Canis lupus familiaris: one gene and its partner. The protein of the gene in region 1 purifies or fractionates together with the protein of each later gene. This does not show direct contact. Links are inferred from orthologs where the notes say so. Each region holds a gene or a part of one and is shown on either strand. Other genes may lie near its edges.

Region 1 (7,292 bases):
GCCATCCATTGTACCTCACATGGCTCTGAACATCCACTCCTCCTGTCCCAAGGGGGAGCTCAGCAGGGCCTGGAATAGTTGGGAGTCCCAGGACCACCAGTGGGGTAATGAGAAAAGCTGCCTTATCTGTTTAGTCTAACTTGCCATACAGATATGCTCATTTTCTAAGTGGGCTGTGACATGGAAAAAGTTGGAAAGCTCTACTTGAATCTAATTCTCCTCCTTTCCCTTCTAAAAACCATCTGGAAATCCCAAACCAGTAATCAACAAACATCCCTACATCTTCAATCTGTTCTTGGAAAGTCACTGATTTAAAATTTGGCAAGTCCTGAAGACAATGCTTCCCTGCAGCCTTGAAGATACTATAAAATGACCCATCCTGAGCCATGGACTAGGATTGCAGCAAAGATGGGGGGGTGGATGTCATCATCACCCTCCTTCCCCCAGCCAACGTCAGCATAGCTTTGTCACTGTTTTCCTCAAGAACAAACCCTGCTGTTCAGACCAATTTCAGATTCTGAGTCAAATAATGTTTGTACACATCCTGTTAGTAAAACTTAATTTATGGTCACTTCTAACAACTAGAGATGTGTTCACAGAGCTGAGAAGTAGAAAGCCTCATGGTAGTGTTCACTAGAGAATAAATCTAAATTGTTTTGAGCATCTAATCAGATTGAGAATGAGGGGAAAGGGACTATTTTTTGCTCCATTTTGTCAAATATACATGCTTGAATTCTGGGAATTTTACAAAAATGTCCTTCATACCTTTGGATTTCTAGCTGAATAACTCTGCTATGGAAATGTGGGCAACTAGAAACTTTCTATGAGATAAATAAGTAATGTATAGTCATTGTTTTTTAGGCTAGTCATCTGGTATTGGCAAAAGGACACAGATTTGCAGCCTGAGGACTGGTGTTCAAGCATAAGCTCTAATATTAACTAGCTGTGTGACCCTGATAAAACCCTTACCTCTCCCAGTCTGTTTCTTTATTGTCGAATAAGAAAGAATCCTTCATAGGAGAACTACCCTGGGGATTAAATGTTAAAGGTGCTTTGTAAACTATAACACTACACAATTATCAACCATCTATTGCATTGTAATAGATGAGTCAGGCATGAGGTCTGACACAGAGCTGATGCACAATATTTATAGTATAAATAAGTAAACCCCACTGGTGAGCTGGGTGATCTCAGGCAAGAAACATCTCAGTTTCTCTCTTTTGCCTTCTCTGATAACCACCTCCCCCTAGTTCATTGGGCTCCAGACATACAGTCCTTTTTCCTGTTCTTCCAGCAGAGCAAGCTCACCCCTGCCGCAGGTCCTTTGGACCTGCTGTTCCCTCTTCCTGAAACATTCTTCCCCAGCTCTTTGCATGACTTTCCAGTTCTCATCAATCCAGTCTTAGATAAAATGTCATTTATTCAGAGGCTTTATTATTCAGTGAGTAATATTCCTTCCACGTCATTCACCCAATATATATTCCTGTTTTATTTTCTCCTTAGCACTTATTACTATCTGTTGACTTATTACACTCTCCTCCACTAGAAAAAAAAAAAAAAAACACTATACTAGAGCTTCCCTGTCCACAACTGTATTCCAATGCCCAAGATAACATCTAACTCATAGTAAACTCTCAATAAGCATTTGAATAAATGAAGTTGAAATATGATAATTATATTAAAAGTTTCATTTTCATTCATTCAACAAATATTTTGTATGTACCTATGAGAGCCCAGGTTCTATTTCAAGATGCTGGGGATTCAACTGAGAACAAAATAGACAAAAATCTCTTTCTTGGGGTATGACTACTAGTGGGGAAACAAAGAAAAAACAAGGTTAAAAAGTAAAAACATACTATATCTGATAATGTTAAGTGTTAAGAAGGAAAAAAATAATAAAGCAGGAAAGAAGGACATGAAATATGTGTGGAGGTGTTAAATTTTAGATAGGGTAATCAGAGAATGAAATGAGAGGCTGAGCCCTGAGGATATACGGGGGAAATGCATTCCAGGTCATGGTAACTGGCACAATAATGAAGGTGTTGGAGAGTAACACAATAAAGGATGAGACAGGGAGGTTAGGGGAGTTGGACTGTATAGAGCCCTTTGGCTAGACTAAGACTTTGGCTTTTACCAAGAGCGAGATGGTAAACTGTTGAAGAATAGGAGCATCAGGGTATCATGATGCGGCTTGTTTTAAGAGGATTGCTGGGGCTGCTGTGCTTCGAATACCTGAAGGGCAAGGGAAAGGACCAGTGAAGACGCTACAATAACCTTGGCAAGAGATGATGGCTCCCCAAGACTCGGGGAGGAGGAGTTGTGGGGATGGAAGATGAAATTTTGGATCCGACAGTCACATTGGGAGAGTTTAAGGGGGAGGTCTGCTCTGGGAGTTAGAACTTGAAACTCAAATGGTATTATTTATTATCAGCAGTAAACCAATCATGCAGATGGAGTCCTGACTCTACCACATCCTGGTAGCAAACTGTTGAGTCGACTATTTCTAGGTTCTGGGCCTCAGTTTCCCTAAGTAAAATGGAGAAAGTGTTCCCACATAACAAGGGCCTTCAAGAGAATGAAATGAGAAGTGTTGAAGGCTGACAGTGAGCAAGGTGAAAACCTTTGGCTTAAGACTGCACGAACCTGTACCAGAGGGAGGGGGCTGCTGTTAAACCAGAGACTGACTTTCAATTCCACAGCACACACTCCGAGAACCCCCAGCAGCGACCAAAGAGAAGCGTGTGGGCCCCCTACCGCAAGGCGGTCCGCAGAGCCCAAACCTCGCGAGATTTGTTGGCCGGGCAACGTCCCACATCTCGCGAGACCAAGGTTTATGAGTGACTATCGGCCGGTTAGGGCTTGCTGGAAAGATGGAGTATCGCGGGTTGGGCACCGTAGAGGCCGCGGACAGTGGAGGGGCCCGGCCATACAACAGCTCCGAGGAACGAGAAGGACGGGAACCGGACGGGCTGCGCTTCGACCGCGAGAGGGCGCGCCGCCTCTGGGAAGCAGTGTCCGGGGCCCAACCAGTGGGGAGGGAGGAAGGTGAGTCCGGGGACCTCAGAGGCAGCGAGTTCAACCGCCCGCTCATTTCACGGGGAGGGGCGGGAGCGCGGGGCGGGAGCACGGACAGCCCCCGGGTCTCCGGTCACACCCCCTGGCGCCCGGCCCGCCCCCTTGCGTGACGCGCCCCGGGACTCCTGGACTCGTGCACCCCAGCAGGGCCTGGGTACCATGGGCCAGGCACCCCGAAAATTGAGGCCGCAGCACCACAGGAATGAGGTCTCCGGGCTTAAATGGTCAAGGCCCCTCTCGTACTCCGGTCCCTCCATTCTCACCCACCAGAGCGCAGCTCTTCTTCAACTCTTCTTAAACGACTTTCATTCCTATCCATCCCTTCTCGGAGACCCACGGAGCCTTCCCCGCCAGACTACTAGCCCCCCACCATTTCTCACAGACTCCATCGTCCCAGTCCACAGGTTCCCCCACCCCTATGTCCCTTGCCTCCTTTGCATCCTTTCTCTCATACCCCACACTGCCAAGGACTCCAGAAGGTCTTCTTTTTTTTTTTTTTAAACATTTAAGATTTTTTTTTTTTTAAGATTTATTTATTCATGAGAGACACAGAGAGAGAGGGGTAGAGAGAGAAGCAGGCTCCACGCAGGGACCCCGACGTGGGACTCGATCCCAGGTCTCCAGGATCACACCTTGGGCTGCAGGCGGCACTAAACCGCTGAGCCACCCGGGCTGCCCGTCCAGAAGGTCTTCTTAACCCTATGTTCCTCCTGGCCTTGGTGTCTTGAACCTGATTTACCCCTGTTTCTAGGTGTCTGGTCTCAACTGCCTGGGTCCTTTTTATGAGGTGAGGGCCGGGAGACTGAGAAACTGGCCAGAGTATACTTTGGCTCCAGCTTCTTTGTATCCCATGCTTGTGCCAAAGTTGTGGAGAACAGGATACAGGAGAGGCCACTTCTGGGCTGAAAGCTTCCCAGCTTGCTCTGCATTTGACCTGGCACTGGGTAAAGTGGAGATAGAGGAGGATGGTAAAAGCTGGCCTGACTTGGTTGTGTGACCTCTTTCATAGTCCTTAGCAGTTAGCTGCTTAACTCTTAGCCAGAAGTACAAGAACTGTTTGGCCTGTGCTAATCCTGTCAAGTAATCTATAGGGAAATCAGATAATTTGTTTACTTGGTGAGCAGACTAATCTTGGAAAGTTTAATGTATTGCTTGTGAACTGATTACCCTGGAATAAAATGGAATTTTGGCCACATCCAAGGAAGGTATGTTTACATTTGGGGTGGTACACAGACCTATGCCCTTTTGTATGCTTCTCCAATTTAAAAACTAGTCTAGTCTGACTCCTAAATTAATATGGGCCCTCTTTCTGCCTCATAATTTCAAACTTGTTTGATACAAATCCTCCCCCAAACACACCCCAATTTTCCTTTCACTAATTTGACAAACATTCATTGATACCTGCTCAGTACCCAGGATGGCTGGGCATCAGAGCTACAGAGATGAGGAAGATACTGTCCTTGTCCTGAAGGGATTTTATAGTTCTAGTCCAGGAAGCAGACACCAAAACAGTTTCAGCTTAATGTAATGGGTGCAGTGAAGAAGAATGTATAAGAATTGGTTGTGCACAAAGAGGGAGTGACCTTTGTCCTTGAGGGATAAGAAGGGATCGCTTGATCTTGAAGCAGAGAACACAACAGCTGTGCTCTAAAAAGTGAATTGCTTATGTGTCTATGAATGTACAGTGTCACTTAGGACCCAGCTCATTTTTCCTACTCTCCTCACTTTCCAATAATTATATGAGGCCTAAGTAGATACCTGTAACCCCAAGTTCTACTCCTCTTTGTTTTGTTTTTCTCTTAGCAACTTTTTTTTTTTTTTAACATTTATTTATTTATGAGAGAGAGAGACAGAGAGGGAGAAGCAGGCTCCATGTCGGGAGCTCGATGTGGGACTCGATCCCGGGACTCCAGGATCGCGCCCTGGGCCAAAGGCAGGCGCCAAACCACTGAGCCACCCAGGGATCCCCTCTCTTAGCAACTTTTATTGATAATTTATATACCATAAAATTCACCCATTGTAACTGCACAATGCAATGATTTTTTAAGTAAAAGTACAGAATTGCGTTTTAGAATATTTCCATCACTCCAGTTAATTCCTTTGTGCTTCTTTTTTTTTTTTTAATTTTTATTTATTTATGATAGTCACACAGAGAGAGAGAGAGAGAGAGAGAGGCAGAGACACAGGCAGAGGGAGAAGCAGGCTCCATGCACCGGGAGCCTGACATGGGATTGGATCCCAGGTCTCCAGGATCGCGCCCTGGGCCAAAGGCAGGCGCCAAACCGCTGCGCCACCCAGGGATCCCCCTTTGTGCTTCTTTACATTAAACCTCCACTCTTACCTTCTGCCCTAGGCAACCACTGTACTCTATAAATTTACCTATTCTGAACATTTCATGTAAACAAAATCATACAATATGTAGCCTTTTGCATTTGGCTTCTCAACATGTTTTTGAGGTTCAGCCAAGTCGTACTGTGTATTAGTACTTAATTACTTTTTGTTGCTAAATAGAATCCCCATTGTATAGATCTTGCTTTTTTATTTTTTCTTATTTTTATTTTTTTTTAATTTTTATTTATTTATGATAGTCACACAGAGAGAGAGAGAGAGAGAGGCAGAGATACAGGCAGAGAGAGAAGCAGGCTCCATGCACCGGGAGCCCGACGTAGGATTCGATCCTGGGTCTCCAGGATCACGCCCTGGGCCAAAGGCAGGCGCCAAACCGCTGCGCCACCCAGGGATCCCGATCTTACGTTTTTAAATTTTTTTTTTAAGATTTTATTTATTTATTCATGAAAGACACAGAGAGAGAAAGGCAGAGACATAGGCAGAGGGAGAAGCAGGCTCCATGCAGGGAGCCTGACGTGGGACTCGATCCTGGGACCCCAGGATCAGGCCCTGGACTGAAGGCGGCGCTAAACCGCTGAGCCACCTGGGCTGCCCTAGATCTTGCTTTTTTATCCTTTGACAGTCTCTGCCTTTTGAGTGGGCTCTTTAGACTATTCACATTTAATTTCATTATTGATATGGCTAGATTTACATTTTCTACTTTGCTGTTTATCTCCTTTACATTTTTTTTTTCTCTCCTTTACATTTTGTTCTTCCCTTTCTCCTTTACTGACTTCTTTTAAGTATTTTTTAGTGGGGATCCCTGGGTGGCGCAGCGGTTTGGCGCCTGCCTTTGGCCCAGGGCGCGATCCTGGAGACCCAGGATCGAATCCCACATCAGGCTCCCGGTGCATGGAGCCTGCTTCTCCCTCTGCCTGTGTCTCTGCCTCTCTCTCTCTCTCTCTGTGACTATCATAAATAAATAAAAATTAAAAAAAAAAAAAGTATTTTTTAGTGGACCATTTTAATTTCTGTTAATATTTTTTATACTTTTTTTTTATTTTACTTTTTAATTTTATTTTCTTAGTACCCAAGGGACTACAGGATGCATCTTAACTCATCACAGTCTACTTCAAATTAATACTAACTTAATTCTGATAAAATATAAAAACATTCTTCTAATAGTGGTCCATTCCTCCCCCTCCTTTGTACTATTATTGTCATATATATTACATTGATATGTTATAAGCCTAATTGTTCAGTGTCATAATTATTGATTTATACAATATGTCCTTTTTTCTTTTTTTTTAAGATTTTACTTATTTATTCGTAAGAGAAACAGAGAGAGGGATCCCTGGGTGGCGCAGTGGTTTGGCGCCTGCCTTTGGCCCAGGGCGCGATCCTGGAGACCCGGGATCGAATCCCACATCGGGCTCCCGGTGCATGGAGCCTGCTTCTCCCTCTGCCTGTGTCTCTGCCTCTCTTTCTCTCTCTGTGTGACTATCATAAAATGAACAAAAAAAATAATTAAAAAAAAAAAGAGAGAGAGAAACAGAGAGAGAGAGGCAGAGACACAGGCAGAGGGAGAAGCAGAAGCAGGCTCCATGCAGGAAGCCTGACATGGGACTCGATCCCAGGTCTCCAGGATCACACCCTGGGCTGAAGGCGGCGCTAAACTGCTGAGCCACCTGGGCCACCCAGTATGTCCTTTTTAAAAAGATTTATTTATTTATTTATTTATTTGGAGGGGCAGGCAATGGGGAGGGGCAGAGGGAGATGAGGAGAGAATCTCAAGCAGACTCCACTGCTGAGTATGGAGTTATATGCAAGTCTCACTGTCACAACCCTGAGCTCACAACCTAAGCCAAAACCGAGATCAGGTGCCCAAC
Region 2 (7,192 bases), on another chromosome or scaffold:
GACTTTAACATCATACCAATAACTGGAAAATAAGCATTTACCTTCCTTTGGTTTCACAACTGGTTTTTCCTTAGGTGGAATAAAAGCTTTGTTTCTTTCCTCTTGTCTCTTACTGAGAGCTTCTGCTTGTTTAGCCTGCATTATTAGTAAGAACGATTTATTATTAAGTAGGAATTCAAGTTTCTATGAACTATGCTATCAATGTCATGAGCTAGACAGAGTCTTACCTTTATGGCTTCCATTTTCTGACGCTTCTTTTGACTTGCCTTCAGAAAATATTCACCACTAGCCAATTCTTTATCAATCTGTTGAAATCATGATTTACAATTACATCAGAAAATAGGTAGATAAAAGACATTTCCTAGGAAATGCATAATGCCCTTGAGTTAAAGATAGCAAGGTCAAAAATTCTTGATAAATTCATAAAGGCGGTAACATAAAAAAAGGAGATGTGCTCTAACCTGAAGGGAATACATGCAAAAAGCATGGAGGTAGGAAAGGAGGTGATGTGTTCATGAAATATACAGCAGGCTGTTTTAGGTGGATGGAACATCAATGATTCAGGAAGTGTGAGGAAACTGGAAAGATAATATGGGGTAAGCTTGAAGAAATGTGCATGCCAGGTAAAGAGGGTGGGCTACAATTTAGAAATGTCTGCAGGTTTCTGAGAGAAATGGAGACCAAAGCAGTATTTAAAAGGTACAGAAGAAAGAAGAGAAAAACACTTGGAATAAAGTAATGGCATGCAAAATGAAGAGCAAGAATTGTTAGGATTTGGGGACTAATTCAACACTAATTAGAGAAAGTAACAGCTTATTCATCCTGATTTATCTCAAACTGACACAGCATTATTATATCTAAGGCAATGTTTTACACTCGTAATAATTACTAATCTCTTTACAATTACTAAACTACAATTACTGATCATTTAACCCTCATTAACAATCCTTTGAGATAGATATTTATTTATATTATCCCCATTTTACGTACAGGGGAAACTGACGCATGGGTGGGCTAAATAAATTGCCAGTCACGAAGCAAGTAAGTGGCAGGAAAAGTCAATTGAGACATTAACTGTTTTAAGAAGTTTAGTCACAGGAGAGGAAGGTAAGACAATTACTAACTAGAGGACAGGCCCATAAGAAGGATAGTAGGTGTTATGGAAGCACGCCTGAGTAATAAGATCACTCTACCTTCCCCCAACTAACAGTGCCTTTCTTTGCTTCCCTTTCCAGAATAGACCTCATGATCCAACACTTCCATTGTTTTATCACCATGATCACTTTTCCACTCTGACCTTCATCAAACCTCTGAAATTCAAACTCCAAATATAGAAAGAGATGTGTTACTATGCTGAGAACAAAGAACTAGAAGAAAGGAAGGACCTTTCGATACAGCCAACGTAGGGAATCATGACATAAGATACCTCAGAAGATAGGTGAAGACAGAATTCAAAGAACAGGTGAAGAAAGGACTGGCGCAGATGGAAAAAAAAATTACAGGTGAGAGAAAAGGAAGGTAAAGGAGTTCTCACTTGATAGTCTTAAATACTGCCATACAATAAAATACAGTGTCATCTGCTAGAGGTGGGAGGGTGCTTCAAGAACTAAGAGGACACACAGAACTACTAGACAACAGTGAGGATCTGAGGTTGGAAACGCATCATTATAATGGATACAGTCCAAAGACTTTCTCCAAATATGTTTAGCAGCCACATTATGGGAAAGGAGTCAAATTTTAGGACTGACCAAGTTTGAGAGTTTTGCTGGACAGATGTGATAGAAGGAAAAGGCAGCATAAAAGAAATAGTGATGAGACAGAGAGAAAAGGAAATTTGGGGAAAAAAATGAAGCCAGAAAACAAGTGACCATAAGAGAAGCCCTCATAAATTAAAAAAAAGAGGGGGTACAGATGTTAGAATTTAAGATTTCAAAACTGGAGTAGTCATATAGCACATGTCACAAGAATGATGTTAAGGCAGAGTGAGAGCACTAAGGGCTAAGTTGTGTTGTTGTTGTTTAATCCATGGGATGTTTATTGTGGCCACAGGGGCACAACTGACAGCAACCACCTAGACAGAGGTTACACTCTTACTGTGAAGCCCCTACTCCCCACGCCCACACTTAGCTCAAAATAAGCCTATTTACACTTACCTTTAGTTTCTTATACTTACACACACACACACACACACACACACACACACAGAGAAAATCTACCTAAATAACTCTCCATAAACTTTCTAACAAAATAGATTAAAATGGTATCCCCCTAATATAAATAAATTCAACATTAATACTGACCTGACTTTCTGGCTGTGGTGGTGGGAATGGTGTATACTCTTTCTTGACAGTTTTCTTCTTTGGCTCCTTGCGTTTATTCACATTTTTGTGCTTGAACTGTGGCAAGAATCTTTCCCAACTTTGTGATCTTAATTCAGAATCTTTTGCCAACTCTCGTTTAATCATTAAGGTCTTTAGTCATGGTGATATATGAACAAAGAAAGAATTTTTAATTTTATAAGTAATACATTTGTCAAACTAAGACATTATAAATATTATTCCTATAAATAATACAATTAAAATGAGTAGTTCTTAATCTCCTCAGTAGGAGCAAAAGACTCCATAAGAAAAGTAATCTCAAATCAAGCATCAAGAAAACCATTAGAAATTTAGATTAAGAAATGCAGAATTATTGGGGCGCCTGGGTGGCTCAATTGGTTAAGCGTCTGCCTTCAGCTCAGGTCATAATCTCAAGGTCCTGGGATCGAGTCTCATGTCAGGCTCCTTGCTCAGTGGGGACCCTGCTTCTCCCTCTCTCCCCGCTCTCTCTCAAAAACAAAAACAAAACAAAAACAAAAGAAAAACCTTAAAAAAATGCAGAACTGTTAAAATGAACGGAGATGAGACAACTCAGCTTTTCAACCATTAGTTCACTAAAACCTTTAAAATTTGGGTGCCTTGGTGGCTCAGGTCATAATCTCCAGATCCTGGGCTGGAGCCCCGCATCAGGCTTCCTGCTCAGCAGGGGGTCTGCTTTTTTCATGCTCTCCCTCTGCCCCTACCCATCACTTGTTCTCTCAAATAAATAAAATCTTTAAAAAACAAACAAAAAAGTCTTTAAAATACATATTAATTGGAGCAGGGAGAGTTCTTAATTAGCAATGTTCCCTAAAAGCTGGAAGTTTTTGGGTAGCACTTTAATTATCACAGGGAAAGAAAAAAGTAAACTTTCTCTTGATCAGACAAAACCAATATTCTCACATTTCTCCCACTCCATGTGAATTCTGCACACACTGGAACATCAAAGGATGCAAACCGGGCATCAGATACAAGACTAGCAGCTCTTTTTATCTTCAATGTCCCAAGGCAACTCAAAATCGTTCTTCCATCCCAATCTAAGAGTGACTTTGTAACTTTATCAAATTTAAGTGGATTGCTTCAAAAATACCCTCATGAAATAGTTCATTAACAACAGGTATAATCATGAGTTATATGTTCCCAGGTATAATCATGAATGCTGAGCACACAAGGATATAACAGATCTCTCTCAAAGAGTTTATAATTTGAACATTAAATTAAAAAAAAATAGTGTTAATGCAATCTGACGTATTCCAGACTCTACTAATAGAAAAAGGGCAGAATTCTGAACGATCACATCTTCAAATATAGTAATGGGCCCATAATCCAAGAAAACCTGACTGAGATCATCTATGACCAATTTCATGAAGCGTATGTCCTTCGTATCAGAACTACACCATACGTTACGGCACAGCACAGAGACCTAAGCCTCCACGGATATAACTCCAGGACTAGGGTAGTTGGGTGTGCAGAACTCTACCTCTACCCTGAATAATTCTGCTTTATCTGCTTTGTGCATTAGGCTTCCATAAAAAATCTAATTTCAAGAAAAGTTTCTGCACCTAAAAGAAGTCTGACAATCACTGTTACAGTAACATATAATTAACTCACTTTAATGTTATAAATTGGATGGATATTCTTCATAGTATCTAGGACTACTTTTCGAACCTGAAATTTGCAAAGAAAAATGAATTAGTCATTTAAAAAGATTTTAATGAACTCAGTGGAAGGAGATTAATACACTGCAACATACCCTATGAACCAGGCAATGACTCCCAAATTGAATACAGTAGGCCTTCAACTGCTCTGGGTGACCTCTAGATCTTTCATAATAGTCAACTTCTCTTGGAAGCAATGGATTTTCTCAACTTACTGCTAAAATGTAACATATAGAACTAATACAACAACATTTTGGAACTGTGGAATTTAGGAAGAAAGTAGCTAGATTTAGTCAGAAAATACGGGCTCAATAATGGGAATGCCACTTCGTAAGGGAAAGTCACCTGTCCTTTTCCTGCTTTCTCATTTGTAGTACAGAAGTAAAACTATCTCAAGGCTCTGCTGTAAAAATTAAATAAGACAATATATTTAGACTTCACAAAACCACAGGATATTCAATATATTTAAGTTATTATTATTGCCACATGAGAAGAGGACAGATAACTAGAAGAGGTCCAACAGAACTACTGTAGGTCCTAGAAAGGGAACAAGACCTCGCAGCCAGATCCAGACAACAAAAGGAGTTAAGACACAGTAACTGCTCCACAGATTTTTTCATAACATTAAATACTACACTAAACTTCAGACAAAAAAACAAACAAAAAAAAAAAACAAAAAAAAAAAGAAAACTATTTTAAAGGAAAGTTTCCAGAATCTGACCTCTACTAGTTTATATAGGTTACTGCAAATAATATCAACATTCAATTCTCTAATCACTTGAGCACATGTAAATACACATTTCCTGTATGTGCTAGAGACTAAAAATCTTAAATACTCATTTAAAATTTGTAGTGGAAAAAGAAATGATGTGCAGACCTTCTAACTCAGGAGTGGATACTTCCTTAGTTGCCAAAGGTTGACCATATTATGTTAGGATCTAGGAGTGATGAAAATTAACTGAAGATAGTAAATAGTTCTCACCTCTTTTAAGCCACTAAAAGGTCCAATGACTGAAACCGTGTTTCCCTGAACCATAATATAACAGTTTGTTAACAGTTCCAAAGCCTATAACAAAAGATTAAGCTCAAATTCAGTACAATGAAAAACTAATGACAGAGAAAGACTCAAGTTTTCCACTGATAAAAAGTACCTTTAATGTAGATCCTTTGGGGCCAATGAGACGTTGTCTTCTTTTTACAAATCTTTCTTTATTTCTTACTAAAGAACCTATTTTAATGATGTCACAAGCAACATCATCCTGAAGAATTCGTACTGCCTTTGGGAAAAACGAAGAAAATATTCCATCAATATTCTTTACAAACACATTTGTTTTCAAGGCCCAGGCTAATGAAATCTAACCAGAAAAATAAAAACTCTAAGACGGAGGGATGCAGTGTTATATGTTATCTCTAAAGTTGATGCAAATACAGCAAAGTTTTTGTAATTCTAAATTTACCTGTTCAAATGAAACACTTCTTGCTAAAAGTTTTATTAGGTCTCTGGCCCTAATGATGATATACGGATCAAAAGTCTTCTTTGTTGTACAAACAGTCATACTGCCCTCGATCAGGTCCAGGGTTGCATTAACGTGCTGAGAAAAGCAAAGAGCAAATACACAACTGTCTAAAAATCAATTCAATTTTAGGTAATTACAAAGCCTATCCTATCAAACTATTAATTACTGTAAATTAAGCTCTAATTCTATCAACTCCCCCCTTGAAGAAGCTGAGTAGTTGATAAAAATAATGAACATTGATTACTTTCATATTTCAAAGAATGTAAGAAACTTAGGCACTGAAACCATTTCTACTTGGCTTTAGAACTTTGTACTCAAAGATAATTTCTAGTTTAAAAAATATGTATCAATGCAAATGAGGTCATACTTAAGACCTAGGGTGAAAATCTAAAGCTACATATAGCTCCTCTATCCTGGACAGGGCTGTGATCTGCCATCTGCTCCTTTGGGTTAAGAACAGACTTTTCCTTTCAAACTTTCTTCTACCTGGTATTAGCTAAATACAAAGTAAAAACAAATTCTCATAGGTTCAGAAAGAAAAAATAACTGGAAAATTAGGCATTAACTGTTCATAGGAAGAAACAGATTTCAACAAAGCAAATTAAAATGTCATTTTCTGATAGCATCTTGTGAATTATATTTCAGTGTAGTGAGTGATGAACAATTCAACATAAGGTTGGGTCTCTGTGAGTTTACAAGTCTAATCTCAGATGCAGACAGCTGTAAAACAGCCTGTGGTTTGCTGAACCACCCTAATACCTAACAGGCACAAAACTCTGGAGCAGTCACCTAGATGAGAAACACATTTTATATCACAACCTGGTGTGTGCACAGGTTCTCACGTGCACATATATAAATGAACCAAAAACTTCATAAAATGAAACTTATCCTTACCATATGTGATACTTATTTTTATTTTTTGGATGCATTCCTTTTTTTAAGGCTCATTATATCCATTAAATGGGATTTCTTGCTCTACTAATGGGTTTCAATCCAGTTTGAAAAATAAAAACAAATGTATTACTCTAGGGAAATGGCAGCAGGTACATACAGGGGATAGTTGGCCACACCCTACCCCTTCCATTTAAAATGAAAATTAAGAAATCATCCAGGTACATGCCTCAACTCAAACTATACAGAAACATGGCAAATATCACAGTAGAGAACAGGCATTCTGAGATGAGTTTCAGAAAGTCGATGAGATCCCTACAGTTCTAAAGGTGTGTGAATTTTTAAAAGTAATCTATTACTCACAAAACTAAAAACAAGTGGATTAAAAGAATAAAGCTTCTATCTAGGTTGTTTAAAAGGAACCAGGGGCACCTGGGTGGCCCAGTCAGTTAAGCATCCGACCCTTGATTTCAGCTCAGGTCATGATTTCAAGGGCTGTGAGATCAAATGTCACGTTGGGCTCTGTGTTCGGCAGAGTCCACGCGGGACTCTGCCCCCCGCCTCTACTCACACATGCCTGTAGGTGCACACACTTACTCTAAAGATCTTTCTTTAAAAAAACAAAACACCAAAAAAGGAACTAAATTAACTACTTACACTAGTACCTTTTAATTTTTTTATTTTTATTTTTTTTACGCTAGTACCTTTTTAAAAAAATCCACCAGCATATATACTTATTTTTAGAAAAGGCATAAAAGCAAAATTTCAA

What was found.
Region 2: the proteins of ZNF346 (region 1) and KRR1 small subunit processome component homolog purify together in Homo sapiens (affinity purification with mass spectrometry; 3 studies listed by BioGRID and IntAct, with this or other methods). This does not show direct contact. The link is inferred for Canis lupus familiaris from reciprocal best matches to the Homo sapiens genes ZNF346 and KRR1.

What each region holds. Positions count from the first base shown.
Region 1 is NC_049225.1:37,186,032-37,193,323, reverse strand, and holds the start of ZNF346 (zinc finger protein 346), read left to right. Parts: upstream 1-2,823; 5' UTR 2,824-2,870; coding exon 2,871-3,045; intron 3,046-7,292.
Region 2 is NC_049236.1:18,821,968-18,829,159, forward strand, and holds part of KRR1 small subunit processome component homolog, read right to left. Parts: intron 5,608-7,192; coding exon 5,473-5,607; intron 5,293-5,472; coding exon 5,167-5,292; intron 5,082-5,166; coding exon 4,998-5,081; intron 4,026-4,997; coding exon 3,969-4,025; intron 2,472-3,968; coding exon 2,301-2,471; intron 306-2,300; coding exon 228-305; intron 136-227; coding exon 42-135; intron 1-41. UniProt on the Homo sapiens protein: Part of the small subunit (SSU) processome, first precursor of the small eukaryotic ribosomal subunit.